5 linked regions of the Oryctolagus cuniculus genome follow. The protein of the gene in region 1 interacts with the protein of each later gene in a pairwise test. Links are inferred from orthologs where the notes say so. Each region holds a gene or a part of one and is shown on either strand. Other genes may lie near its edges.

What was found.
Region 2: the proteins of GIT1 (region 1) and C6H8orf33 interact in a two-hybrid assay, tested with the Homo sapiens proteins (2 studies listed by BioGRID and IntAct). The link is inferred for Oryctolagus cuniculus from reciprocal best matches to the Homo sapiens genes GIT1 and C8orf33.
Region 3: the proteins of GIT1 (region 1) and PFDN1 interact in binary tests that used the Homo sapiens proteins (3 or more experiments, as listed by UniProt). The link is inferred for Oryctolagus cuniculus from reciprocal best matches to the Homo sapiens genes GIT1 and PFDN1.
Region 4: the proteins of GIT1 (region 1) and HMOX2 interact in a two-hybrid assay, tested with the Homo sapiens proteins (2 studies listed by BioGRID and IntAct). The link is inferred for Oryctolagus cuniculus from reciprocal best matches to the Homo sapiens genes GIT1 and HMOX2.
Region 5: the proteins of GIT1 (region 1) and LAMTOR5 interact in a two-hybrid assay, tested with the Homo sapiens proteins (2 studies listed by BioGRID and IntAct). The link is inferred for Oryctolagus cuniculus from reciprocal best matches to the Homo sapiens genes GIT1 and LAMTOR5.

The regions. Positions count from the first base shown.
Region 1 is NC_091448.1:45,045,516-45,050,805, reverse strand, and holds part of GIT1 (ARF GTPase-activating protein GIT1), read left to right. Parts: intron 1-3,423; coding exon 3,424-3,557; intron 3,558-3,952; coding exon 3,953-4,065; intron 4,066-4,154; coding exon 4,155-4,260; intron 4,261-5,125; coding exon 5,126-5,290. UniProt on the Homo sapiens protein: GTPase-activating protein for ADP ribosylation factor family members, including ARF1.
Region 2 is NC_091437.1:168,507,541-168,513,537, forward strand, and holds the start of C6H8orf33 (UPF0488 protein C8orf33 homolog), read left to right. Parts: upstream 1-1,966; 5' UTR 1,967-1,981; coding exon 1,982-2,182; intron 2,183-2,267; coding exon 2,268-2,313; intron 2,314-2,392; coding exon 2,393-2,568; intron 2,569-2,678; coding exon 2,679-2,763; intron 2,764-2,846; coding exon 2,847-2,993; intron 2,994-3,216; coding exon of another isoform or gene 3,217-3,263; exon of another isoform or gene 3,264-3,466; coding exon of another isoform or gene 3,467-3,606; exon of another isoform or gene 3,607-3,965; intron 3,966-4,357; coding exon of another isoform or gene 4,358-4,437; exon of another isoform or gene 4,438-4,466; intron 4,467-5,997.
Region 3 is NC_091437.1:27,956,926-27,962,215, reverse strand, and holds part of PFDN1 (prefoldin subunit 1), read left to right. Parts: intron 1-2,774; coding exon 2,775-2,941; intron 2,942-5,290. UniProt on the Homo sapiens protein: Binds specifically to cytosolic chaperonin (c-CPN) and transfers target proteins to it. Binds to nascent polypeptide chain and promotes folding in an environment in which there are many competing pathways for nonnative proteins.
Region 4 is NC_091450.1:31,091,752-31,097,041, reverse strand, and holds part of HMOX2 (heme oxygenase 2), read left to right. Parts: intron 1-2,521; coding exon 2,522-2,631; intron 2,632-5,290.
Region 5 is NC_091438.1:59,943,144-59,949,193, forward strand, and holds the start of LAMTOR5 (ragulator complex protein LAMTOR5), read left to right. Parts: upstream 1-2,639; 5' UTR 2,640-2,736; coding exon 2,737-2,771; exon of another isoform or gene 2,772-3,516; coding exon 3,517-3,578; exon of another isoform or gene 3,579-5,472; coding exon 5,473-5,590; exon of another isoform or gene 5,591-6,050. UniProt on the Homo sapiens protein: As part of the Ragulator complex it is involved in amino acid sensing and activation of mTORC1, a signaling complex promoting cell growth in response to growth factors, energy levels, and amino acids.

The sequences.
Region 1 (5,290 bases):
TCTCCAAAGCCCTGCTCCTGATTCTAGGGCAGGGGGACACAGGGTAGCGTCGTCCACCTGTGCTTCCCACGTTGCATTTGAACGTCTGGTGGAACCCACTGGCTGCCCAGAGGTTCGTGTATCGGACGTGGTGGCTGCCCAGCGCCCGTCGCTCCTGGGTCCCTCTCCGATAAAGGCATTCAGGTCCCTGGTGCTGCCTTCCCCGTGCCCCAGGCAGAGGCTGTGAGAAGGCAAAGACCAGGAGGTGAGCCTGAGGGTCTGGCAGTTGCCAGCCACGCCCCAAGGACGTGCGTGTTCATCAGGGCTGCAGACCCCCTACCCCGTGACGCTGGCCGTGGTGTGTGGCGGCATGGGTGTTCTGGGGCCTGTGAATACGCAGCAGCCTGGGGTCCAGACCCAGTGCCACCCTCCTCAGTGAAGCCCCCAGCCAGGGGGGCTTCTCTCGCTGTCAGGGGAGCCCTGGGGTCACGCCCTGGGGTCACGCCCTTTTTATAGTTGGTCCACTGGGGAGGTACAGCTGGTCCCCAGAGGGTCCCGGGCCTGGGCCTGTGGAGAGTAGGTTTGAGCATGTTTTGAGGCAACTGGACGTGGCATGGCCGCGGGTGCCACCTGGTCAGCCGCAGTCTGCATCCCTATTCACACCACAGTCCCAGAGAGGTGCAGGGGTCAGGAGCCCTGGAGAACGCGGTCCCCTGTCCTTTACCTCTAGTCACGTGGCCTCAGTGCTGAGCTCCCAGGCCCAGCCCAGGTCCCCACAGCAGCCTCTCTGCTCTGGCAGCCCAAGGCGCAGGAATGAAGGCCTCAGGATGCCCATCCTATGGACAACCTGCAGGCTCACTGACCTCTGCGTAACGCAGCTCCTGGGGCGGGGCGAGTGGTGGGCTTGCTTCCTCTTGCTGCAGCGTGTTGGGCCTTGTGGACACGGATGTGTGTGTGCAGCCGTGAGGCCACACCCTGAGCTCCTTAATGCCCCGCCAGGGCTAACTGCCCTCTGTCCCCTTGGGTTGCCCTCGCCTGCCTCAGCGCAGCTGGCTTCTCCCTCTTGTGTGAGCTTTAGTGCTGGAGAGAGGTATTTATAAGCAGATGTGCTGGCCCTTGCGGCCACTAATGCTTCTGTGGTGGCAGGAAGTGACATGGTAGAGGCCTCCATGGGGTCGGACCATCCGAGACCCCCTGCCACCTACCTCGCATAGCAGACCACACCCCAGCTGTGGAGCTGGAGCCAGGTGAGGGGTGGCGGGTTCTGAGCAGCCTACCCCAGCCCCTAGCTCTTTGGGCTGACCAGCCTCTTGGTGGCAAGGGTGCTTTGTCCCTAAGCTACAGTAGCTAGTTGGCTTCAGAAACCCTTCCTGCTTCTTCTCTTAGGAACTGGCTTAGGTGGAACTTGGGGGCTCATGCTTGGGTAGACCCGAGGCTGTTTGGGTGTAGGTGGTAGGTAAGACAGTTAGGGTGCGCCTCTGTCGGTATCATCCAGAAGTGAGCTGGCACCAGTGTGGCCCAGACCACGGCAGGTCTCCATTTCAGGTCACCATGGAGGAGAAGGAGGGCCTTTCCCACAGGCGGGGGTGAGGGGACCAAGCAAAGCCTGAGGCCACATTCCCCAGATCCTGGGCCCTTGGTCAATGCCGCATCCAGGGGCTCACTATGTTTGGTGTGCCCACAACCTGGGGCTCTTGGACCGCTGGTCCTGGCTATAACGCTAGCTTTTCCTGGCCTGGCTTCTCTGATAGGGCCACGGGCCTGGGGTGGAGGCCTCAGGGCGGCCCATGTATGATCCTGGCCTGGGCGGCTCCCCACTTACAGGAAACCCCACCATTTCAGCAGGAAGAATTTAGGCTGCATCATTTCCGGCTTCCTGCCTGCGCTGCCGGAGGTGGCTGGCGGGCAGACCCCTGACCCAGTGGTGTTTGGTAGTGGGGGTCGGCCGCCCTCCATGCCTTAGTGGTACAGTGCGCCCAGGGCTCCCCCTCTTGCCACGGACAGCTGGTCTGGGCCTCATGGCCCAAGGAAGGTATATGGTGACACATTGTGGATTCTTTGGATCCTTCTCCTGCCCTGTTTTGGGGAGTCCCTGACGAAACTTGCACCTAGCGACCGAGCCCTCTCATTTACTTCCTGTACGCTGTGGCCAGAGCCGAGGCTGGGCTCCTGACTCAGAGCCTCCACACAGCTCTCCTGGGAACTTGGATGGGAGTCCTGGACGGCCGCGGCCCGGGAGTCATCTTCTGGTTAGGAGAGGTCCTCATCACCCCAAGCTGTCCCCGTCCCAGGGGCCACCCACTCTGGACATCCTGAAGGCCGTGGGGAAAGGCAGAGAGCCAGTACCCCACCCCCTGCCCGCCCCCAGGCCAGGGCTTCCTGAGCCCTGGGCAGAGCACAGTGTCCAGGGAGAGCTCCCCGCCCCCACTTGCAAGCCTACACAATGGCCGCTTTCTCCCCCGTGACCTTTCCGCAGCCTGAGTTGTATGCAGCTGTCTCCTCCCCTTCGCCCAGGGGGCCTGGGATGGGTGGTATCCCCGCTACCCTCGAGGAGGACCCTGGGTACTTCCAGCCAGGCCTGGCTCCCTTGTTGCCAAGTTTTCTTCCCCCGCTTCTCCCGGGGCTCTGGCCGAGCTGCAGGGGCAGAGGAGGGACAGCAAAAGTGTAGACATGGCGTGGGTCTGCCGTCAGAGTGCCTGGGCCCACATCCTAGCACTTCTGATCCTCAGCTGTGTGACCTTGCGCAAGCCCTCTAACCTCCCTGAGCCACTGTCTCCTCATCGGTGAGGCAGGGACAGCATTTCCTACCTCGCCGCACAGTTCTCAGAGGCATCACGCATAAAACAGCCAGTGGTGCACGGTGTTCACTTCATCGCGGTTAGCGCCTCGGCTCTGCCCACCCTTCTCCAGACGGGCTGCGGCCCCCACCATCAGTGATGTGGCAGGAGGCTGCGGCGTGAAAGACCCTCGCACCTGCCAGCACCAGGAGCCCATGGGCGGTCTGGCTGTTAGGCCCTAGGTGCAGGAGACCTGGGGCTGACCTGTGAGAGGAGGGTATCCAGGGATGTCTGGCACATGGCATCAAGGTCTCGTCCCCTAGGGGATTCCTGCCTCCCTGCGGGAAGGGGTAGGGCAGCAGCTTTGCTCCCTGGGGAAAGGCTGGGAGACTGAGGCTGTGGCCACAGGACAGGGAGCTGTGCCCACTGAATGGGCCCTGGAGACCACATGGCGCCAAAGGAGCAAGGATGTGTAGCACAGGTCGTGGCCCTGCCATTCCCACCTGTGAGCCCTGGGAGAAAGCCTTTGTTGGTAACCCGGGCCTAACCGCGAGTATGAGCAGGTGAGCACGCGTGAAGTTCTGAGCGTGGTGTGGACCCAGAGTGGGCGCTGAGAAGGTCTCGCCTGCCCTCTGGCTCTGGCTGACCGTTGCCTCCACGCCGGCAGACCCTGGCTGGGCATCCATCAGCAGGGGTGTGCTGGTGTGTGACGAGTGCTGCAGTGTGCACCGGAGCCTGGGACGCCACATCTCCATTGTCAAGCACCTTCGCCACAGCGCCTGGCCTCCCACACTGCTGCAGGTACAGGGGTGGGCCATGTGGTTTTTCCTTCCCTGCAGACCCAGGCCTGGGCTCAGGTCCTCCCCACCGCAGCCCCACCCTCGGTGGAATCTGCAGCTTCCACGGGGCAGCATCCCCTAGGCAGAGCTGACCCTGACCCTGACCCTGACCCTCCTCACCCCTGCTGCGCTCACAAACACAGCCAGTTCTTGCCCCGACTCTGCAGCTTCCTAGCAGCCAGGTGGCGCCATGCAAGGCACTTGGCATGCTCCATGGGATCCAGGCCTCTGGGTGGCCTGGCTGGCTGCAGGTGTGGGGTGGCAGACCCACAGGAGGTCCCTTCCGTGCACTAGGGATGGGTCCCCGATGCCCAGCACGCAGTGGGCGCACGCTCACTTGGCAGCCTTTCCCCGCAGATGGTGCACACGCTCGCCAGCAACGGGGCCAACTCCATCTGGGAGCACTCCCTGCTGGACCCCGCACAAGTGCAGAGCGGCCGGCGCAAAGCCAACCCGCAAGACAAAGTCCAGTGAGTGGGGCTGCAGGGGCGGCGGGGAGGGCGTGCGTGGCCTGGGCTGTGGCCGGGGACACACGTTTCCTCCTGTGTGTGCCGTGCAGCCCCATCAAGTCCGAGTTCATCAGGGCCAAGTACCAGATGCTGGCGTTTGTGCACAAGCTTCCCTGCCGGGACGATGATGGGGTCACCGCCAAAGACCTCAGCAAGGTGCGGGGGGCCCTGCGAGGGAGGGGCGGGCCTCTGCTTCCCACCCCCACACACCGCGAGGGCCTCTCCTTCATGACCAGTGAGCCCGAGGCCCCTAGGGCTGCCTGGCCAGGGGAAAACAGTGGCCACAGCAGGGGACAAGATTGCTCCATCAGGCTGTGTGTGACCAAGGCGCCTCAGCTCCCGAGTGTGCACATGAGGCTAACGTCCCCCAGCTGCCACTCAGAAGCTAAGGGCAGGTGCGAAGGCTCTCAGAGCCTCAGTGGTCTCATCTGTAAAATGGGAAAGAAATAATAGCAACTACCTCATAGGTGATATGGCTTCCTGGCAGAGCATACAAGCACACAGCGGCTGGTGACTGTGGCAGTTGTTACGATTTTTTGAATCTTATTTTTATTTATTTGAAAGGCTGACAGAGATCGCCCAGCTGCTTGTTCACTCCCCAAATGCCTACAACAGCCAGGGGTGGGCCAGGTCTAAGCAAGAAACCCAGAGCTCAGTCCAGGTCTCCCATGTGGGCGACCGGGACCCAGGCACCTCGAGCCATTCCCTTCAGCCTCTCGGTACATTAGCAGGAAGCTGGTTCCTAAGTGGAGGAGCTGTGACTTGGAGCAGGCCCTCTGGATGGGGATGTGAGCATCCCAGGCCGCATCCTGGCTGCTGCACCGGGTGCCAGCCCTGAAGGCAGTTTTTATTCGTTGGCATTCACTCCTGGTGGGGAGCCTTCTGTCTTCCCTGACATGGCCAGATTTTGGCTGAGGCCCTTGGAGCTGGTGGGCTTGCGGGGAGCAGCGGGGCAAGGGGCAGCTTGGGGCAGGACTCGTGCACACGCGTGCACAGTTACTGCACACTCCACTGCTTGCAGCAACTGCACTCAAGCGTGCGGACCGGCAACCTGGAGACATGTCTGCGCCTGCTGTCCTTGGGCGCCCAGGCCAACTTCTTCCACCCAGAGAAGGGCACCACACCCCTGCACGTGGCTGCCAAGGCAGGGCAGACGCTGCAGGCAGAGCTGCTGGTCGTGTACGGG
Region 2 (5,997 bases), on another chromosome or scaffold:
GGACCCAAATGTCTACTTAGGCCTTTGTCACACACACATAAGCTCATACCTGACTTCCTATCTAACAGAAGTGACTCAGTTTAGATAGGTGTTCATGGCACTAGTTCTTAAGGTGCAGTTACGTATTTTGTTTGACTATTTGCTTTTCTTTCATCTTTATCACTCATTTCAACTTTAAGAAAAGTGATTGTAATCTTGTACTTTCAAGTGTGTGGAGCCAGGTTGGGGTTTTCTTGTTTGGGCTTCTTCAAAAATGTTTTTCTATCATGAAGAATATGGTAACTTCAACTTCAAAAAATATTTTTTTACCATCAGATAATGAAGACAGGAGATAAACTTTAGGAGTACAAACAAAAGTTGGTTTAGGCATGTGAGATTTGTATGTGGATTCAAACTGATGAAGTCCTGTAAAAAGTCAACACAAGTGAAAGGGTTTTTTTCTGAAAGATTATTTGGATAAAACAAACAAGAAAACCAGTTAATTGAGAAGATAATAGGAATCGACTCAGGTTGATGGAAGACTCGATGTGTAGATTCTGCTCTTTTTTAGATCTTTCTTTCTTTTTTTCTTTCCTTCTTTCTTTTTGACAGGCAGAGTTAGTGAGAGAGAGACAGAGAGAGACAGAGAGAAAGGTCTTCCTTTTTCCATCGGTTCACCCCCCAAGTGGCTGCTATGGCTGGCGCTGCGCCGATCCAAAGCCAGGAGCCAGGTGCTTCCTCCTGGTCTCCCACACGGGTGCAGGACCCAAGGACTTGGGCCACAGCAGAGAGCTGGACTGGAAGAGGAGCAACCGGGACAGAATCCAGTGCCCCGACCAGGACCAGAATCCAGGGTGCTGGCGCCGCAGGCAGAGGATTAGCCTATTGAGCCACGGCGTGGCTTATTATGTGTACTTTTAACATCTTAAATGCTGTAGGGGAGACTTTGTGTTTGTTAGCATGTATTCTCATAGGTTGTCTATACATGACAATTCAAGACTATGTAACTATGGGTGTAAATTTCAGAAGGTGTGAGCAAGTCATAAAAAGTTTTAAGAAAAGTTTACAATTTTAAAACATTGTTCATAGAGTTTTCTTTTTTAAAAAGATTTATTTATTTATTTGAAAGTCAGAGTTACACAGAGAAAGAGGAGAAGCAGAGAGAGAGAGAGAGAGAGAGAGAGAGAGAGAGGTCTTCCATCTGCTGGTTCACTCCCCAATTGGCTGCAACGGCTGGAGCTGTGCTGACCGGAATCCAGGAGCCAGGAGCTTCTTCCAGGTCTCCCATGCGGGTGCAGGGTCCCAAGGACTTGGGCCATCTTCTTTCTGCTTTCCCAGGCCATAGCATAGAGCTGGATCGGAAGTGGAGCAGCTGGGTCTCAAACTGGCATCCATGTGGGATGCTGGCGCTTCAGACCAGGGCGTTAACCCGTTGCGCCACAGCATCGGCCCCAAGTTTTCTACAAGTTGAATGTGAATGCCAAAATTACATTGACCCAAGATTGAAGTCCAATCTTCTGTTATGACAACGAGGTTTTTGAAAAATGCATATTAATATGTTAGTAAATATCCATATCATTGCTTGGTTCCAGTCCTGGCTGCTCTACTTCTTTTTTTCTTTTAAATTTTTATTTATTTAAAAGAGTGACACAACACACACACACAGAAAGAGGTCTTCCATCTGCTGGTTCACTTCCTCACTTCCTTTGGGTCTCCCACAGGGGTGCAGGGGCCCAAGTACTTGGGCCATCTTCTGGCCCAGGCCATAGCAGAGAGCTGGATTGGAAGTGGAGCAGCGCCTCACTGTTACCTTACAACCATATCTTGGATCCGTTATTGGGTTTGTTCTTGTTAGCTGTTATCTTACTCGGACCAGCGCCCATAAGGGATGCCGGCACTGCAGGGGGCAGCTTTACCAGCTATGCCACAGCGCCGGCCCCGGCCCCGCCTGCTCTACCTCTAATCCAGCTTCTTGCTAATGTGCCTGGGAAGGCAGCAGAAGATGGCTTTGTCTACGCAGCCGGAGCTCGGCCAGCGCCGCCCCGCCTCGCCTGTAGCCCCGCCCCCTGCCCCGCCCCCTGCCCCGCCCCGCGCCTCCCCGCGCACCCGGAACTCCGCGTCGCAGTCGCGTTGCTGGAGGGGCCAATTTGGTCCCGGACTCTGCGCCCTACGCGGGTTCCGGCGGCGAAGGCGGAGCATGGCGGTGAGCGTGGCGGAGGCGCGCGCGCTGCGGGCCCCTGGGCTGCTGGCGGCCTCCAGTGACCCTGATGCTGCCCTCTTCTCTTCAGGCCCCAGGACGTCCTGCTCGCGAGGCCTCTGCGGCCTCAGGCTCAGGTACCGCCTGCGCGCCACGCAGACCCCGGGCCCCTGGCGCGGTTCCGGTGCCCCGAGTACTTCCCCTGTTTCCGTGCAGGGCGACCCACGTGCGGTGCCGCCGCCCGCAAAGCGAACCCCGCAGTCTCTGAGGGCAGTGCCGCCTCCAGGAAGTCCAAGAAGAAAATCCGGGACAGGGCTCCTGCGGCGAACGGAGGCCAGACGGCTTCGGAGCAGCCCGCTCCAGAGGAAGCCTCGCGAAGTGCCGAGGCGCAGGCAAGGGGGTCTCCCGGTGGCGTCTAGAAATCAGCCTTGTGGAGGCAAGGAAGGGCCTGGGGCGGCAGGTCCCGGTGCCTGCCCTCAGCCCCTCTCTCCACCCGTCTCAGGCGGAGCAGCTGGCCCGAGAACTGGCCTGGTGCGTGGAGCAGTTGGAGCTGGGCCTCCAGACGCGGAAACCCACCCTGAAGCAGAGTGAGTGGGGGTGTGGCGGTGGCGGCGCTGGGTGAGAGGAGGTGGGTACAGAGCGGGGGACTGGCCTTTTCTCTTATGCGCAGGAGAGCAGGCTGTCGGGGCCATACGAACCCTGCGCAGCGACAGGACGCCCCTGCCCCGGAAGCGGCAGCTGATGCGTGCCCTGTTTGGAGACTACAGGGCTCAGATGGATGCCGAGCGTCTGGAGGCCCTGCGGTCTCTTAGGGCTGGTGAGGAGCTTTGCGTTTTGGGATGTCCGGTTCAATAGAGAGGAAGGGCTTAGGGAGTGCATCTCTGACGCTGGTGGGGATGGAGTTGAGCTCAGGGAAGCCTGGGCGGGGCGGAAGTGTGGAGCCCTCAGCAAAGCAGAACTGGGCCTGGGCGCAGGGGGCAGAGGTTCTCGGAGGGGAAGGAGCCTGGCCCACAGCTGGCCCTGCCTCACCTTCCATGCAGCAGTTAGTAAGTCCTGGAACCAGCCATCCACCTTGCTCCAGTCCTGAAGCTACCACTTAGGTCGTTAGCACCCTTGGCAAGTTCTAGTTCTCTCCGTGATTCTGTAAGTCATGATAGGAACTGCCTTAGGATTCTCAAGATCAGTTGATTTCTGCTGAGGGTCAGGGTTGCATGAGCAGTCGTAACTGCACAGGTGCTGTTTGCTGTTACTCAGTCCTGACTCTGATGCCCTCTGCCCCCCCCCCCCCAGCTGCTCGGTCTGCCCAGGTGCAGCCTGTGGGTGAGGCCACCAGAAAGAAGAGCCGAAAGGTCTGCAGGCCACGTCCAGTGGGAGGCGCCAAGGCCACTGTGGATACTCCTGATGAAGAGTTTAGGTTCAATTTCTTTTAGCCTCTCCCCCATCAAAGAACAACCCCGGGATGTTGTCTTGAGTGCAGAGACTTTCCAGGAGGTCTCTGTTGGCAGAGGTCAGCTTCGTCTACAGCAGGGCTGTTGGGCTGCTGTGAGTGTCAGACAAGTGCAAGCCCCCATTTGTATGTTTTTGGATGACATGCCCCTCCTGGCATGAGAGAGAGAGAGAGGAAAATCTACAGGAAACAGAAATGAGTGTCATGAAAAGAATAATGTACTTTATTGGTTTTTCAGGCTTGGTTAAGTGCTCCTGGTAATAAGGATTAGTGGTGAAGCTACCTAATTGTACGCTGGGGCTCAGTTTTGAAAATAAGCCCATTAAATATTTCATTGCTTTATACCATTTTGTCTTATTGCCTCAGTCTCCACTTTTGATGGAAGTGGATGATTGAAAGAATGCTGAACATCTCTGTCTGAGGAAGTACACGAGCTGAGGGCCCAGCATAGTTGGGTCCAGGACCTCACCCGACGTGTGGTCCCTTGTCCTTGTTGCCCTCGTGAGCAGTGTTATCCCCAGGGCCGCTGTGGGTCCCAGCAGCACAGGCTGTTCAGAACACTGCGTCAGGCCCAACATCTCCGTCTGTCTTTTGCTTTCTGGTCAGTGGTGCTTCTGCCCACCTGGCTGCTTAGGTGGCAAACTTGTCATCTCCCTTTTTCAACACACGTCAGTACTTGAATGGTTGTCAGATCTGCGTCTCATCTGCACTGCTGCTCTTGGTTCCGGCCCCAGGTCTCAACCATGACTGCTGTGTTGGCCTGATGTCTGCTGCGTTGCCGCTCTGTGGGTGTGTCGGCTCATGGTTCTCCTGACTGAATGGCTTCATTAAACCCAGACTACGGTATGAAAACTGACACACAAGGCCTTAGGGCAGGAGCGTCACGATGGCTCTGACATAACCTCCCGCCCTTGTTCCAGCCTCTCTGGTTTCTTGTTTACTCCTGAAATAACCAAACGTTATCCTGCCTCAGGGTTTTCAGCATTACTGCTCATTTTATGTGGGTTTCCTTGACTGGCTCCTGGGAAAGCAAATATCAACGGGCTTCGTCCATTGTTTACTAGGCGAGGTAATATCCTGTGAAGAGACTCAGCAGTGTTCACAGGAAGTGGTTCCCGCTTGGGCACAGTGCAGATGTAAAGTGTCAGAATGACCCCTTTATTTAGTGTCTGCTTTCTTGCTAAGAATGCTGTTTGTTGAAATCACAGACAACCGCTTTGTTGTCAGGAATGGTGGGTAGAAAGGAGACAGCCTGATCTCAGGAGGATGCCCTGGTCTGTATGTGAAGCAGTTTCACACACGCGGCTTGTGGAAGCCACTCACACCTCTGTCTTGATTCTGTGCATTCTCGGGAAATAGCCTAGTCCATGTCACAGTTGAGACCTGGTGTTATCCCAATTACACCTCCCTGCCTTCTGTTCCCATTTAGATTCCACCTAAATGCCCCTCCCGTAAATGCTGTAACGTCCCCTATCTCTGCGGTGAGGTGCCCTGTGCATCTGAGTATAGTCTGCCTGGGAATAAGACAGTAAACTGGGGTTACACAGGTTAGTCCCTGTTGGCTTGGGATGCTTGGGCTAGGACAGTCTTCATCTTGGATTTTGTCGCTTCCTCTCCCATTCCCCATTCGCAGTTTGACCCTTTGCATTGGGTATATTTCTAGGAGTTGGGAGGGCCTAAGAAAGGGAACACCAGGGGAGATCTTCCTTTCCTGATGTCTGTAGTTACATTCCCTCTCTGAAACCCATCTGGGCCCTGTTAAAACCACCTGTTCCTTGGTCCATTCTGCTTAAGGGCTCAGGGTTTACTTTTTTTTTTATTTTTTTTTATTTATTTTTTTTAACTTTTATTTAATGAATATACGTTTCCAAAGTACGAATAATGGATTACTATGGCTTCCCCCCCATACCGTCCCTCCCACCCGCAACCCTCCCCTTTCCCACTCCCTCTCCCCTTCCATTCACATCAAGATTCACTTTCGATTATCTTAATATACAGAAGATCAGCTTAGTATACATTAAGTAAGGATTTCAACAGTTTGCTCCCACACAGAAACATAAAGTGAAAAATAATAGATGATTTTTTTTTAATGATGATGAAATCAGATCAGACCTATTGTCATGTTTAATCCCAGTGAGAGTCAAGTTGGGAGTTGATAGTTTCTTTTCTTTTCTTTTCTTTTTTTTTTTTTTTTTTTTACAGAGGATCAGTTTAGTATGCATTAAGTAAAGATTTCAACAGTTTGCACCCCCATAGAAACACAAAGTGAAATATATTGTTTGAGTACTCGTTATAGCATTAAATCTCAATGCACAGCACATTAAGGACAGAGATCCTACATGAGGAGTAAGTGCACAGTGACTCCTGTTGTTGA
Region 3 (5,290 bases), on another chromosome or scaffold:
AACAAGGAAACGTATATCAGTTTTTTTTTTTTTTCTTTTTTAAAGATTTATTTATTTGAAAGGGAGGGAGAGGCAGAAGCAGAGAGAGAATCCATTGATTGATTCCCTAGATGTCTGCAATGGTGGAGCTGGGCCAGGCCAAAGCCAGGAGTTTCTTCCTGGTCTCCCATGTTGGTGCAGGGGCCCAACGACTTGAGCCATCCTCCACTGCCTTCTCAGGCACCCTAGCTAGCAGGAAGCTGGATCAGAAGTGGAACAGCCAGAATTCGATGGCATTGCTGCAGGCTCAACCTTCAGTGCCCTAGCATTGGCTCCGTGTATCAGTTTTATTTCCTAATGTCTTCATAAGCTATTTTTTTGAGTGGTATTTAATAGGAAATATAGACATCTCTTCTTCCCCAAAGTAAATCTTCTGAAACTTTGCTAGATATGCAACTCTGAATGAAGCACAACACATAGAGTCTTCAAATAATCTTATTTATTTGGGAATAGCAAAGCACTGCAGTGGGAAGGCATGCACCATAGTGAACTGTGAGAAGAAGGAATAAAAGCTGTGTGGTGGTGGCTTTTGCCAGGTATTGCATTCAGAATGTTGTTATTAAGGCAGAACTCTGACAGCGTGTGAAAGTCATTCCAAGGCACTTCAGCAAGAATATCCAAGAACTGGGTTTATGTTTGAGTTAAGTGTACTCAAGGATCAAATTTGGCTTGGTGTGTGTGGATGAAGATCATGATGCAAGACTTCTGCCAGTGTTTTGCATTTTCTCTCTTTTTTGTACCCCTATTTTTTTTTAAAGGATTTATTTATTTGAAAGGCAAAGTTTCAGAGAGGCAGAGAGAGAGGAATCTACAGACCTACATTCTGGTTTTTTTTTTTTTTTTTTTTTTTAAGATTTATTTTATTTATTTGAAAGAGTTACAGAGAGGCAGAGAGAGAGGCGTCTAATGTCCAATGGTTCACTCCCCAGATGGCTGCAACGGCCAGAACTGTGCAGATCCGAAGCCAGGAGCTTCCTCCGAGTCTCTTGTGTGGATGCAGGGGTCCAGGACTTGGGCCATCGGCTTTCCCAGGCCATAGTACAGAGCTGGATTGGAATTGGAGCAGCTGGGATCGAACTGGTGCCCTTAAGGGATGCCGGCACTGCAGCCGGTGGCTTTAATCACTGGCCCCCCTTTTTTAAAGATTTATTTATTTGAAAGGCAGAATTACAGAGATGCAGAGGCAGAGAGAGGGATCTTTTGTCCGCTAATTCACTCCCTAAATAGCTGCAGCATCCGGAGCTGTGCCAATCTGGAGCCAGCAGCTTCTTACAGGTCTCCCACTGGGTATAGGGGCCCAGGCACTTGGGCCACCTTCCATTGCTTTCCTGGTCCATAGCACAGAGCTGGATTGCAAGTGGTGCAGTGGGATTTGAGCTGGTGTCCATAGTGGATGAGAGAGATCTTCCATCTGCTGGTTCACTCCCTGAATGGCTGCAACAGCCGGAGCTGGTGGGATCCAAAGCCAGGAGTCTGGAGTTTCCCTCAGGTCTCTCATGTGGGTGTTGATGCCCAGAGACTTGGGTCATCTTCCACTGCTCTCCCAGGCCATAGCAGAGTGCTGGATCAGAAGTGGAGCAGCTGGGATTCAAGTTGATGCCCATATGGGATGCTGGTACTGCAGGTGGTGGCTTTACCTGCTATGCCACGGGGCTGGCACAAATTTTCTTAAAAATATTCATGTTCTGAATGTTTCTGTAGATAATAAAAGTGAAAGATTTCTGAACTAAGGGGTCAGAAGAAAATGATTCTAATACCTTCCTTTTGAATCTTATGTCGTTCAACCCTATGTAAGCCACTTTTATCTCAATTGATTTAGTTACTTAATTTATAAATTGTGGATGGTGAAACTTGTCCCTAACTCAAGGTTATTTGGAAGAATAAATGAGTTAAGTGTTATATCCCTCTTTAATAGTTTCATTAATTTTCTTATATTAACATTTCAGACTAATGTGGGAAAATGCTTTGAAACCTAGTTGTGTAGTACAGATGGAATGAGTTGTTACTTTTATGTTTTTTTTCTTAAGGTTTGTTTCTTTGAAAAGCAGAGATGGGGAGAGGGTAGGAGTGGGGAGAGGGAGAGATGGGAGATGGAGATGATGGAGGCGGAGGCAGAGGCAGAGGCAGAGGCGCAGGCAGAAGTATCAGGATCAATCCTCCATCCATCTGCTGCTTCACTCAAATGCCTGCAACAGCCAGGGCTGGACCAAGTTGAAGCAAGGAACCAGGAACTCCATCTGGATCTCCCACAGGGATGGCAGGGCTCCACGCATGGAGCCATCCTGCACTGCTTTCCCAGGCGTGTTAATGGGAAGCTGGTCTGGGAGTGCAGCAGTTGGGACTTGAACCAACAGGCATTCAGAGATGGAATGCCTGATTTGCAAGTGATGGCTTAGCCCTGTTGTGCCACAAAACTGGCCCCTGTGTTTTTTTCTTTGAATCCTTGGGTTTCATCATCTGAAACTCCTGGAGTAGTTGATACTTGGTATGGTTATTTTTTAATGTGCATTTATTTTTGCTTCAGGTTGATTGCATCTTCTAAGGACAGGTAAATTCAGTATTTAGCATAGTGACTTGATCATTTATAATTATAGTGTAAGCTTACTGATATTTGCTTTGGTAAATTTCACAGCTTTGTGAATTGAAAACAGGTTTTGTTTTAATGTATTTGGGTTTGGCTTACATGTTTGCTGTAAAATGTTTTACCTACTAAATCAAGGACCTATTTTTATTAGGCCTTCACAGAGCTTCAAGCCAAAGTTATTGACACTCAACAGAAAGTGAAGCTTGCAGACATACAGATTGAGCAACTGAACAGAACGAAAAAACATGCACATCTTACAGATACAGAAATTATGACTTTGGTAGATGAGACTAACATGTATGAAGGCGTAGGAAGAATGTAAGTAAAATATATCTTTACAGGGGTTGTTATGGGAGAACGGTTGTCTGAACTGAATCATTGAATTTGTTTATTTTGAAATTTGGGCCAAAGTGTATAGAAATAGCGTTAGTGGTTATTTAGTCAAATGCCTTCTTTTTTTAAAAAATGAGGTAATGAACCTTAGAAAGGTATGAGTGTTTAATTTTAAACATTGAAATTATGTATCTTAAATCCGTGTTCTCTCTACAGTTATGTCCATACTAATTTTGTTTGTAAAGATTTATTTAAGTAGGAATAATTTTATTTGTTTTTTAAAGATTTTATTTATTGATTGATTTGTAAGGTAGGGGGACAAGAGAGGAAGAGACAGCTCTTCCATCTGTTTTTTGATTCTCCACATGGCTGCAATAGCTGGAGCATGTTAGCACTAAGGTGGAGCACTCCTGTAGGGGTGCCACAACATAATGCACCCCCCTTCCTTTTTATTTTTATTTTTTTGTTTCACTTATTTGAGAAGCAGAGAAAGAGAACCTTCATCTGTTAGTTCAACTCCCAAATGCCTGCAACAGACTGGGCTGGACATGAGTGAAGGTGGAGGCCAGGAACTCAGACAGGTTGTCCACGTGGTTAGTTTCAGACACCCATCACTACTGCCTCCCAAGGTCTGCATTTGCAGGAAACTAGAGTTAAGAGCTAGAGCCAGACAGTGAACCCAGGCCTTTGGGTGTCTTAATTGGTAACTGCTGGCTAAACTCCTGTCTCAGTAGGTGTAGTGTTTTTTTCCCCCCAGAGATTTATATATTTATTTGAAAGGTGGCGTTACAGAGAGGCAGAAGCAGAGAGAGAGAGAGGTCTCTCATCTGCTGGTTCACTCCCCAAATGGCCACAACAGCCAGAGCTGAGCTGATTTGAAGCCAGGAACCGGGAGCCAGGAGCCAAGAGATTTCTCTGGGTCTCCCAGGAGGGTGCAGGGACCCAAGGACTTGGGCCATCCTCTACTGCTTTCCCAGGCCATAGCAGAGAGCTGAATCAGAAGTGGAGCGGCTGGATTCAAACTAACAGGGGTATTGCAGGCGGTGGTCTCAGAATGTATAGGTTTTTTATTATTATTTTTTTTGACAGGCAGAGTGGACAGTGAGAGAGACAGAGAAAGGTCTTCCTTTGCCGTTGGTTCACCCTCCAGTGGCCGCCACGGCGGCGCGCTGCGGCCGGCGCACTGTGCTGATCCAATGGCAGGAGCCAGGTACTTATCCTGGTCTCCCATGGGGTGCAGGGCCCAAGGACCTGGGCCATCCTCCACTGCACTCCCTGGCCACAGCAGAGAGCTGGCCTGAAAGAGGGGCAACCGGGACAGAATCTGGCACCCCGACCGGGACTAGAACCCGGTGTGCCGGTGCCACAAGGCGGAGGATTAGCCTAGTGAGCCGTGGCGCCGGCCAGAATGTGTAGTTTTAACCTCCCTTTCCCTGACTAATTTATTAGGAGTCATACAAATCATAAATCTTCGAGATGCCTGAAAAGTGGTAAAAATAAAGATTGGTTTGCCATTGAATATACTCATTCTTAAGTGTTAGGAAAATGGTGCAGTTTTATCTATGGCGTGATCTATGCCCTGGCTCCCCCTGCCAATGCTGAAAGCCAGGTAGCCACATGGCCCAACCACCAGTGTCAAACTCCACCCCCATCCTAATGGGATTCGCTGCTCCTGCTTCCCTGCCCGCCCTCCGGCAAAGTTTTAAAAATGAGCCGTGGCTCACTAGGCTAATCCTCCACCTGTGGCGCTGGCACCCCAGGTTCTAATCCCAGTTGGGGCACTGGATTCTGTCCCAGTTGCTCCTCTTCCAGTCCAGCTCTCTGCTGTGGCCCCGAAAGGTAGTGGAGGATGGCCCAAGTCCTTGGACCCTGCACCTGCATGGGAGACTAGGAGGAAGGCACCTGGCTCCTGGCTTCGGACTGGCGCAGTGCGCTGGCCATGGCGGCCATTTGGGTGGTGAAGCAATGGAAGGAAGACCTTTCTGTCTCTCTCTCTCACTGTCTAACTCTGCCTGTCAAAAAAGAAAAGGGCGGGGGGGGGGGCCTGTTCCTGAACACGTGGCTCTCTTGGCTCCTCTTGTCTGCTCTCCTCTCCTCCTCTTGTCTCTCTGCTCTCTCTCTTCTCTCCTCGCTAGCTCCTCTTCTCTCTGTCTGTCTCTCTTATACTCTCCTTCTCTCCCCTTTTCCCTCTTCGCCCCTTCCCTCCAGCCTGCTGGTTTTCCCCAATAAACCCTGTCCCTTACTCTGGAGTTTGGTGTGTTTTGTGACAGCATAACACTAAGTGTTATACATAGTTTTAATAGGACAACTCACACATTAGATATCTAGTAAACC
Region 4 (5,290 bases), on another chromosome or scaffold:
GCAATGACTAGGGACGGGCCTGGTGAAACAGGTTGAGCCTGGAACTGCATCCAGGGCTCTCACAGAGGTGGCAGGGAATCCAGGTACTTGGGCCAGCATCAGCTGCCTCCCTGGATGTGAATTAGCAGGAAGCTGGAATTGGAAGTGGAGCCAGTTTTCAAACTCAGGCACTCTGATGTGACTTGGAGGCATTCTAAGCATTGTCATTCATTCATTCATTCATTTATTTATTTATTTAAAAGGCAGAGTTATAGAGAGGCAGAGAGGAAGAGATAGGTAGGTAGGTAGGTAGGTAGATAGATAGATAGATAGATATGGGTCTTCCATCCACTGGTTTACTCCCTAAATGGCCAGAGATGCGTCCGTCCTAAGCCAGAAGTCAGGAGCTTCTTCCGTGTCTCCCACTTGGGTGCAGGGGCCCAAGGACTTGGGCTATAGCAGAGAGCTGGATCAGAAATGGAGCAGTCAGGACTCGAACCGGCACCCATAAGAGAGCTGGATCAGAAATGGAGCAGTCAGGACTCGAACCGGCACCCATAGGAGAGCTGGATCAGAAATGGAGCAGTCAGGACTCGAACCGGCACCCATAGGGATGCCAGCACTGCAGACAACAGCTTTGCCCACTGTGCCACAGTGCCGGCCCCATATTATTTATTTTTAAAGATTTATTTATTAATTTGAAAGATTTACAGAGTGAGGGAGAGACAGAGATATCTTCCACCCACGGGTTTACTCCCCAAGTGTCTACAATGGCCAGGGCAGAGCCACACTGGAGCCAGGAGCTTCATCCCAGACTCCCATGTGGGTGGCAGAGGCCCAAGCACTTGGGCCATCTTCTCTTGCTTTCCCAAATGTGTTGACAGGGAGCTGAATTGGAAGTAGAGCAGCAGAGACTTGAATGACACCCACATGAGATGCTGGCCCTGCAGGCCACGGCTTTTACTTGCTATGCCACAGCGCTGGTCCCACCCAGCTTCTTTTTAAAAGCCTTTCTGATGCATTTTGATCGTTTCTCTGAGATGATGAACAACATGGGTGGTGATGAGGATGAGATTTGCCAGAAGTAGATGGAGCAATGATGATTCACAAGACAGCGATGATGGAAGAATGCCGGATCTGGAATAAGGAGTGTAGTCATCACCTGGAATTTGAGAAAGAAAGTGAATTCTCTGCAAAATTTCATAATTGAGAGAGTTCCTGAGTTGATAGCTCTAAAGGCGGATGCTGTATTTGCCTCCTTTAACCCATTTTTCAACCTATTTGTTTTTTTAAAAGGCTTCACTAAGGGTTGGTATTTCCATTGTAAGGGGCAGTTTTAAGTCAGCTAAGGCAATAACCTTATGCGTGAACATTTCCCAGACTTCATGAAGCTGTTGAGGTCCTAGATAATTGATACAGCAGTTGTGATAAATAAAGACATTTCACTTAAGTCTCCTTTACTTCTTCATAACATAGATACTGACATGATAGGAAGTGCTCAGCTGAGGGAAAGATAAGTAAATTTTAGGGTTTAGAACATGGAATCAAAAAAGGCTGAAACAAACTGGCTGACACCTTAAACTGATAACCAGCTATTCCTCTGGTGTATCCTTCAGGAGTGTTCCACTAAAGTTTATTTTTCAAAAAATTCACTTCACATTATTCTATGTAAGTGATCACTTGTCAGTGTTCCAGATGTATCTTAGCTAAAACTAGTGAATGCCCTAACTTAGATGGTTTTTGAAGCCTATACATTTGGTATATTGTTTGGCCCTTAAGCTTTTACATCTCTTAGCATAGAGGACGAAGAAAGCTTAAGAGTCTGTACATTTAGACCAGATTTGTATTTGCACTGTCAGTATGGCAAATGAGAGAAAAAATGTAATACACTATTGGAAATTTTTTTTTAATTTCTTTTTTTTTTTTTTTTTCTGGTTCAGCTTATACCAGGGCTGAAAACCTCAATTTATGTTCATGACAGTGGGGATTTTTTTTAAATGTCTGCATTCTTTCTAATAAACTGTTGGAAGACTTAAAAAAAAATGTTTTGGTGACTATTTTGATATAATTTCAAATGTACAGAAAAGAATTGAAAGATTAGTACAAAGAGCGCTTCTATACCTTTAACCCAGATTCACACCAGCATTTGGCTCCTCTGCTTTGTTGACTGACCGTGTCACCCTAGCACCTGCTTACACATGCCAGTCTTGTGAACCAGTGATGGTAAGATAGTGCACCCCTGTACTTCTGAACACCTGTTTATTTCCTCAGAACAAGGACATACTTTTATTTCTATAACCACTATACATTTATAAGAAAAAACAGCAAATGTCAATGTAATGCTCATTGTCTAATCTACCATCTGCATTCAGACTTTGTCCATATTCTGATGTGGTCTCAGTAGTGGCCGAGGTCTGTTGTAAAGAAAAGCACGGAGTGTCTGTGTTCCCTGGCTGTGCTGGCTCAGGAGAGCAGAACAGGCAGGTGTTTGGAGACGTGTCTGCTATGCATGATGGATCATCAGCTCTTTGTGTCTCAACAGGACAAAAGTGAGGGCAGCAAGAACCACTGGGCAACAATGTCAGCGGAAGTGGAGACCTCCGAGGGGGTAGACGAGCCGGAGGAAAAGAACTTTGGGGAAAATCACATCAGGTGAGCAGTGAGGGCTGGCTGCATCCCATCAGGTGGACCTAGCACTTGGTTTCATCTACTAGTGGCACCCGAGAGTGGTTATGGGTCAGGGCTTGTGGAACTTGGGATACTGGTGGGCTGTGCAGCGATCAAGCGCATACAGCCCCTTGGCTGGATGGCACTCTATTCATTTGTCCTGTTCCAATGTCTTCACCAGAGGCAGCACAGGTGCCAAGTGATAGAATTCGACAGTTGTCCCCCCCCCCCCCATCTATTCCCTTTCCTTTTTGAGACAGGTAGAGGAGACAGAGTTCCCAACTGCTGGCTCACTTTAAGTGCCCACAGTGGCAGGTACTGGGTCATGCTGAGGCTGGAAACCTGGAACTCAATCCAGGTCTCCTACATGGGTAGGGACACCCAGTTACTTGAGCCATTACTTGCTGCCCCCCAGGGTCTACACGTAGTAGTTAGAATGCCCACATCCCATATCTGAAATGCCTGGGTTTAAGCCCTGGGCCTGCTTCTGATTCCAGCTTTCTGCTGATGCAGACACGGTGAGGCAACAGATGGTGGCTCAAGTAGTTGGGTACCTACCAGCCAACTGCATTGAGTTCCCATCTGCTGGCTGGGAACCAGCAGATGGAGCTATCTCTGCCTCTCACATCAATAAAAATAGCTGTTCTTTCATCTGGGCTGAGAAAGGGTTATCAGTGGCAAAGCTGGCTCCATTCATGGCGCCTTCCACTGGTGTGAATGTGGAGGCAATTCTGACTGGGGGCCAGAGCCAATTCTCTTTGAGCCTCAGATTACTGGGGACTGTTCTGCATTGTTCTTAGTTTGTTGTAATAACCCTGTCATTGGCAAAGTTCTTTTTTAATACCTTGAAATAATTGTTGATAATTGCATGTGGGTGATATAAGCTCATCTAAAGCAGCCAGCAGAGGCTGGATTGTGACAGGGCTGAGTCTTCCTTGCTGTAACACATGGGTTTTGTGGACGTACACCTGCTCAGGTGCCACTCATGTGTTCTACCTTGTCCATCCTTCAGAAGCACAGCTTTAGCCTGATTTTTTTTTTTTTTTTTTTTTTTTTTTTTGGACAGGCTGAGTGGACAGTGTGAGAGAGAGAGAGAAAGGTCTTCCTTTTGCCGTTGGTTCATCCTCCAATGGCCGCCGCAGCCGGCGCACTGCGGCCGGCACACTGCGCTGATCCAATGGCAGGAGCCAGGTACTTATCCTGGTCTCCCATGGGGTGCAGGGCCCAAGCACTTGGGCCATCCTCCACTGCACTCCCAGGCCACAGCAGAGAGCTGGCCTGGAAGAGGGGCAACCAGGACAGAATCCGGCGCCCCTACTGGGACTAGAACCCGTTGTGCCAGCGCCACAAGGAGGAGGATTAGCCTAGTGAGCCGCGGCGCCGGCCGCCTGATATTTTTTCTACTCCAAAACATTTTTTTTAAAAAGAAACTAATTTAAATGTACATGATGTGACTTTGTTAAATACTATTTTTCTCTGATTCTAACTTCCTGATCTTAATTAACTTCATTTCTGTTGCCATGGAAACCAGCAATGCAGTTAATCAGATGCAAAGGTAGTGAGGTACACACAGAAGCATTCTATAAGTACAGAAACAACACTTACTTCCTGTGTGATTTTGTTCAGCAGCATACCCAAGGACTGTCCCAGCCTTCACAGTCAGTCCCCACCCCTCTTTTCTAAAAAAATTTATTTATTTGAAAGAGTTACAGAGAAGTCTTCCATCCACTGGTTCACTCCACACATGATCGCAACGGCCAGAGCAGAAACCAGGAGCCAGGAGCTTCTCCCAAGTCTCCCACACAGGTGCAGGGGTCCAAAGACTTGGGCCATCTTCTACTGCCTTCCCAGGCCAATAGCAGAAAGCTGGATCAGAAGTGGAGTAGCCGGGACTTGAACTGACACCCATATGGGATGCCTACAGTGCTGGTGCTTTAACCCGCTGCGTCACTGTGCCACAGTAGCAGCCCCCAATCACAGTCCTTTATGGCTGCAGCATCTGAGCCATTCCCAAAGGCCAGGCTATAGAAGCCAGGAACACTGATGGGAGTAGAGGTGGTTTCTTCAGCCACTAGGTGGCCACAGAGACAAAGCATGATTCAGTGTTTTGGTTTTTTAAAGACTTACTTATTTAAAGATTTATTTATTTATTTGAGTTACACAGAGAAGGAGAGGCAGAGAAAGGTCTTCCATTCACTTGTTCACTTCCCAGTTGGCTGCAATGGCCAGAGCTGTGCTGATCCAAAGCCAGGAGCCAGGAACTTTTTCTAGGTCTCCCGTGCAGGTGCAGGGGCCCATGGTCTTGGGCCATCCTCTACTGCTTTCCCAGGCCATGGGAGAGATCTGGATTGGAAGTGCAGCAGCTGGGACTTGAACCAGCGCCCATATGGGATGCTGGCTCTGTGGGTGGTAGCCTTACCTGCTATGCCACAGCACTGGCCCCAACTTATTTATTTGAAAGAGTTACAGAGAGAGGAGAGACAGATCTTCGGTCTGCTGGTTCACTCCCCAAATGGCTGCAATGGCCAGGGCTGGGACCAGGCCAAAGCCAGGAGCTTCATCCAGGTCTCCCACTTGGGTACAGGGGCCTAAGCACTGGGCCATCTTCTGCTGCTTTCCCAGGCCATTAGCAGGGAGTTGGGTC
Region 5 (6,050 bases), on another chromosome or scaffold:
GGCAGTGCAGCGCAGCAGGTAAAGTTGACACCTGTGACACTAGCATCCCATATGGGCACCGGTTCAAGTCCTGGCTGTTCCACTTCCAATCCAGCTCCCTGCTAATTCACCTGGAAAAGCAGTAGAAGATGGCCCGCGTGTTTGGGCCCCTGTCCACATGGGAGGCCTGGAGGAATCTCTTGGCTTCTGGCTTCAGCCTGGCCCAGCCCCAGCCATTACATCTGGGGAGTGAATCAGAGGATGGAAGACTCTCCTTGCCCCTCAGAACTCTGACTTTCAAATAAATAAGTCTTTAAAAAAAATACTAGCAGGCAAATGCTCCCTGTGCCAGACTGCATGGGGCAAACCAGTAGCAGCAGAGAGCGAGCCACTTGGCGGAGCAGGCTGCCCTCCTGCCTCTGGTGTGTGCCCACTGCCATCCTCCTCCTTCTGTTCCCCTTTGCCGGCATTCCTTGCAGCCTAAATACCAATGAGCAGCCTCAGTGCCATCTGGCTTGGCGGTCATCTGAGATCCGCGGGAGCCACATTGACCATTGCTGTGGCTGCCAGCCTCTCACGGCTGCTGAGCACTTGAAACGTGGATCCTGTGAATGGAAATGGGCTGGTAAGCATGAAATGTACATTGGATTTTGAAAACTTTATGTTGAAAGGATATTTTGGATATACTGTCTGGGTATGTAAAATATTTTCTTAAAAGTTAATTCACATGTTTTTAGACTTCTCTGATGTGGCTACCAGATCATTTCACATAAGGAGTGCCCTGTCATCTTATTTCTGTTTGCAGGCTGCCTAAGAGGTTAAACACATACACACACACACGCACACACCAAAAACCCAAGGCTGCACCTCGCAGCCCGGTAAAACGTTACACACCGAGTAACCACAAGGGGGCGGTCCTGCAACGCATGACCAGCAGGAAGCAGGCTGGCTCCCCAGCCAGCCGTCACAACTTGGTTTCCAGTAGTTAGTAAGTACTTCACTTACATGTCTGATTGCAATCTTGTGAGGTCAGCTTTTAAATCCTTTTTCCTAAAAATGTCTATGGTCCATATTGTGTTGTCCTTTACCAGAAATAACTCTTCTAGGGCAGGAATCCAAAACCCTTGAAAAGCAACGCACAAAGTGGGATTTGAAGGAAGCTGGAAGCTCCCCTCTGACCTCTGGGAATGAAGAGGGACTTTGCCCTCCAGGCTGAAAGCGCCCTGAGCTGGCCATAGTCAGCAGGGAGCCCGGGTAACAGCTGCAGGTGAGAGGGCTCAAGCACGCTTCCGGTAAGGCGAGGCTTAGCAGAACTGGCAGGACACACAGGTGCGCTCCTGTTTTCACCAAAGTGCTACCATCTGAGTGCACGCTGGCACTACCTCTGTGCCAGCAATTCACGTCCATCAAGTCTTAAAAACAACCATATCCTTTGGCCCGGTAATTCCACTTCTAGTAGCTTACCAGGAAAATTTTAAACTGCACAGAGATTTAGCCAAGAGGATATTCACCCAGCAAGCTAGTATCCAAACTGTACATTAACATGGAGTTGGTCAAGTCAGTTAAAGCACATACGGCTGAGACATGGAATATTTTGCAATTAATAAAAACTAAGTATTTATTTTTAAATATTTTATTTATTTGAAAGAGCTGCAGAGAGAGGTAGAGACAGGGAGAGAGGTCTTCCATCCGCTGGTTCACTCCCCAGATGACTGCAATGGCGGAGCTGTGCCGATCCAAAGTCAGCAGCTTCCTCCGGGTCTCTCTCGCCAGTGCAGGGGCCCAAGGACTTGGGCCATCTTCTACTGCTTTCCCAGGCCATAGCAGAGAGCTGGATCGGAAGTGGAGCAGCTGGGGCTCAAACCGGCGCCCATATAGGATGCTGGTGCTTCAGGCCAAGCCTTTAACCCACTGTGCCACAGCACCGGCCTCAAAACTAAGTATTTATTAACACGAACAGACATTTATGCTAAAACCTGTGCAAAGGCTCAGCAAAGGAATCATGTCCAATATTTTTTTTTTTTGCTTAGAAAAGAACAAAAGCCATTTAGAGCATACCTCTGCAAATACATCCACCTGAAAGGGACTGCAGTCACTTCTGGCAGTGGAAGTGTGGGAAGTGTGGCTGGTTTCCTTCCTTTATTTTTAATCTTGGCTTTGACAGCTTGTAAAGCTGTTTTCAGGGAGTGTCACCCCAGTCCTCCTTATGCGTTAGGTATCACACGGCACCTTCTGGCCCCAAACCTTCCTGAGCCCTGATCACAGGAAAAGCAGTGTCTTAGTTAAAATTCCAACACGTTTTGCCAGCGCCCCGCTCCGGGTTTTACCCGCGGGCCACCTCGTCCTTTGTCCCGGGTGTACGCCCTTCAAGGAGCCCGTGGCTCCTCTGGCCACTTGCTCCATCCCGCCGGGCCCGCAGGGTTACTGTCAAACACCATCCTGTCCTTGGGTCTCGGAGTCGTTTGCACTGAGACCAACGGACAAGAACCATTGGGCCAGACTGCAGGCCAGGAACTGAGGCGCTGGGGCCTGGCTGCAGACTCTCACCCCGCGCAGCCCGAACCCTCAGGGAGACGGGAGCACGGCTCGGCGCCGTCTTCCGGGAGAGAACTCGGACGTGGCGCCGCGGCGAATTTTGTCCCATCGGCGGCGCCGTCGCGGGCAGCGGAAGGCTCGCGTCACGTGACGGAGGCCCGCAGTGAAGCGGAACGCGACGGCTCCGGGGGCCCGGGCGGGGGTGCGCTGCCGGCCGGCGGGATGGAGGCGACCTTGGAGCAGCACCTGGAGGACACGTGAGCAGTGCGGGCCTCTCCGGCCAGTTCTGAGGTCGCAGCGCGGGTTACGTGCGGGACAGCGGGCGAGACCCGCGAGCGCCGGAGGGCGGCTCGGGGACGCCGTGCCACCCCAGAAGGCTGGCCGAGGGGACGGGGCCGGTGGCCCGAAGTTAATATCCCGCTGGGGCCCGCAGCCTTCCTCTCGGGGCGCCGTCCGCAGGATTAGGTCGTTCAGGAGGGTGTCGCAGGTGTGCCGTCGGCCGCACCGGGTACACACACACACAGATCGTGTGTGCGATCTGTCATTTGGTGTTTAAGGAAATACCTGTTCCTTAAATGTGTTAACGTCTGTGTAAACTCAAAGCTGCAAAAGTCTAAGGTGTACGTGCAGACACCACCCTCCCAGCCACTCCCTCGTCATCCCACTTCCCTTCCGGGAGGCAACGCCTCTTAGTTTGTCCAGTTGTCTTACCTGAGCTGTTACGTAAAGCGTGCGGTTAGAACGGCGAAAAACCCCGCATCCGAACTGTTGCGTGCGCCTAGGCTTCCCAAACCCAGCAGATACTCATTCTTCTCTGCAGCTGGCTTCAATTACTACTTTAATTTTGCTCGGGGTTGGGGAGTGTGGTAGGAAAGAGGTCGAGAAACCCATTTAAAGCACTTAGGCAATGCCTGATAGCATGGCAGGCCCACGGGCGTCATAACCGTTTGCATCCACTTTCTCAAGCCCTCTGCCTCACCTCTCCTGTGTTTCTGGAATTAGGATGAAGAACCCGTCCATTGTTGGAGTCCTGTGCACAGACTCACAAGGCCTCAATCTGGGCTGTAAGTATCTCCTGCCAACCCTTTGCTGGACTGCGCCACACCTGGTGTTGACCAAATAGTATTTGAGTCATTTCAAACTGGGCCTAGACAGGACTCGCCCATGAGAGCTGTGAGCATGTGCTGAGCCATATGCGAGGCTCCACCTGCCTTGCTGCACTTTCCACAGTATCCCTGCATGATGGGTGGGTGCAGTGTTCTAGTCCAAGTACACCAACAGTGAAAATAGGAGATTCTGAGTTTGGCACAGCTGAGTTCAAACACTCCCCCCACCCCCACCCCGTTCTTTCATTTGCTAGTTGTGTGAACTTGGGCCTAAATGAACCTTTCAGGAACTTTTTTTTTTTTTTAATATTTATTTATTTATTTGAAAGAATTAGAGAGAGGGAGAGACAGAGAGATCTTGCATCCTCTGAGTCATTCCCCAGATGGCTATAATGTCCAGGGCTGGGCCAGGCCAAAGCCAGAATCATCCAGGTCTCCCACAAGAGTGGCAGGGACCCAAACACTTGGGCGATCTACTGCTTTCCCCAGACCTTTAGCAGGGAGCTGCATCAGAAATGGAGCAGAAGGACACAAACCGCTGCCAATATGGGATGCCGGCATCAGAGATGTGTCATGGCACCGGCCTCCATGGCATAGCTTCACTGGGCTCTTGTTTACTGAGACTAGTGCTTACAGAATTGCGTGCTCTTCCTTGAGTTCCAGGTACCATTCTAATGGTAACTCACGCACTCCTCCTAACAACCAACGTGAGGCACAGAGGTAAAGTAGCTTGCCTAGGGTCATAGGGCGGTAATTGGCTGAGCTAGAAATGGTGTCAGGGTCCAAAGCCTCTTCAATCACAATGCCGTGAGATTATATAATATGCTTAAGACAGTGCACACCCAGATGGAACATGCTCAGAGAATGACAGCAATCACAGATGAGGAAATGATAGATAAGGAAAATGATAGATAACTAGAGCATTTAGTTAATGTCAGAACTAGTAAACCCAGGACACGTCTTAGTGCAAGAATTTTTAAAGCTCTGAATTTTTGCTGCAAGGGTAACAAAGCGGTAATCTATAACTCAGTTGCTTGGAGAAAAAAGGCAAATGTTTTGACGCTTTTGCCAGACTCACTAATGGAAATACTGAAATGAAGTGTGAAACTCTATTAGAGTTGCTTCAAGAAAGCTTCAAGGTGCAAAAGATGGCGCCGTGCTGGTGAGTTGCTGTCAGGAAATCCCTCTGCCCACCAGCCACAGGCACGGTTCTGCTTGGCCTGCCTTCATACACACATACAGGACACAGTAAACTCAGCAGTTACATTTTGTGCTTGGGACCCAAGGTTCCGTTATCATATACAAGCTAAAGCAGTCAGGAGTAGAAGACAATCGTGTGGGCATTTGAAAACAGCCAAGTAGCTATGCTAGCAGAAATAACTGCTCACAGAATGTTCACACGTGCCATCGAGGAGATCTGAGACTGCGTGACTCCTCAGGAGAGGAAATCCGCTTTCCCATGAGGAATGAATTAGCTTCAGCAAGCCTCTTGCGCGTATTGACTGCTTTTTGTCAATCTCACCTCTAAGCTTTTTGTTTTCGCAAGGTTCCTATCCAGTGAATTTATGGTTTTCAGAGTGACCTGAATTACAGCGTCCTGGTATGTTGAAGCTGTTTACAGATGGTGATAGGTGTGTCAGTTATAGCTTACTGATTTATTGATTTTTGTTGCCCGGCTTTCTCACTGATGTAACCACTGAGCGTCAGGGAACAGTCACTTCATGTAAGCACCAAACTTAAAGGACCAGGACCTGAACCTCCTCTTTGTGAATCATTCAGTGAGATACTGTTGCTCCAAACTTACTTGTGGCTCACCAGGTGCCCTGATACCATCGTTCTCTCTCTCTCTCAGGCCGTGGGACGCTGTCAGATGAGCATGCTGGAGTGATCTCTGTTCTGGCGCAGCAAGCAGCAAAGCTAACCTCTGACCCCACCGACATTCCTGTGGTGTGCCTAGAATCAGATAATGGGTGAGTAGAGGCCTCAGATCCTTTCCTTTCTGTTCAGAAAAACCCCTGGACAACTTGACTGAGGCCTGCTCTGTGTTCCTCAGTGACTCCATACTCAAAGTATGTCGGAGCAGGTTCTTGACCCTTTGGGCCATGGGAGCAGACAAGAATCTTGGAAGCCAATGTGCTGGCAGACCACAGTGACACTTAAATGAAGAGTAAACTGTTATTAGTCTCCCAGGAAAACAGAAGTAATTAAGTACCACAAAAGAAAACTAATCAAAGCATCAAGCCTTTTTTCTTTTTTTTTTTTTTTTTTAAGATTTATTTATTTGAAAGAGCTACACAAAGAGGGAAAGAAAGAATCCTCCATGTGCTGGTTCACTCTTCAGGTGGCCACAATGGCCAGGGCTGGGGCAGGCCAGAGCCAGGAGCCTCATCCAGGTCTCCCACATGGGTGGCAGAGGCCGAGATTCCATCT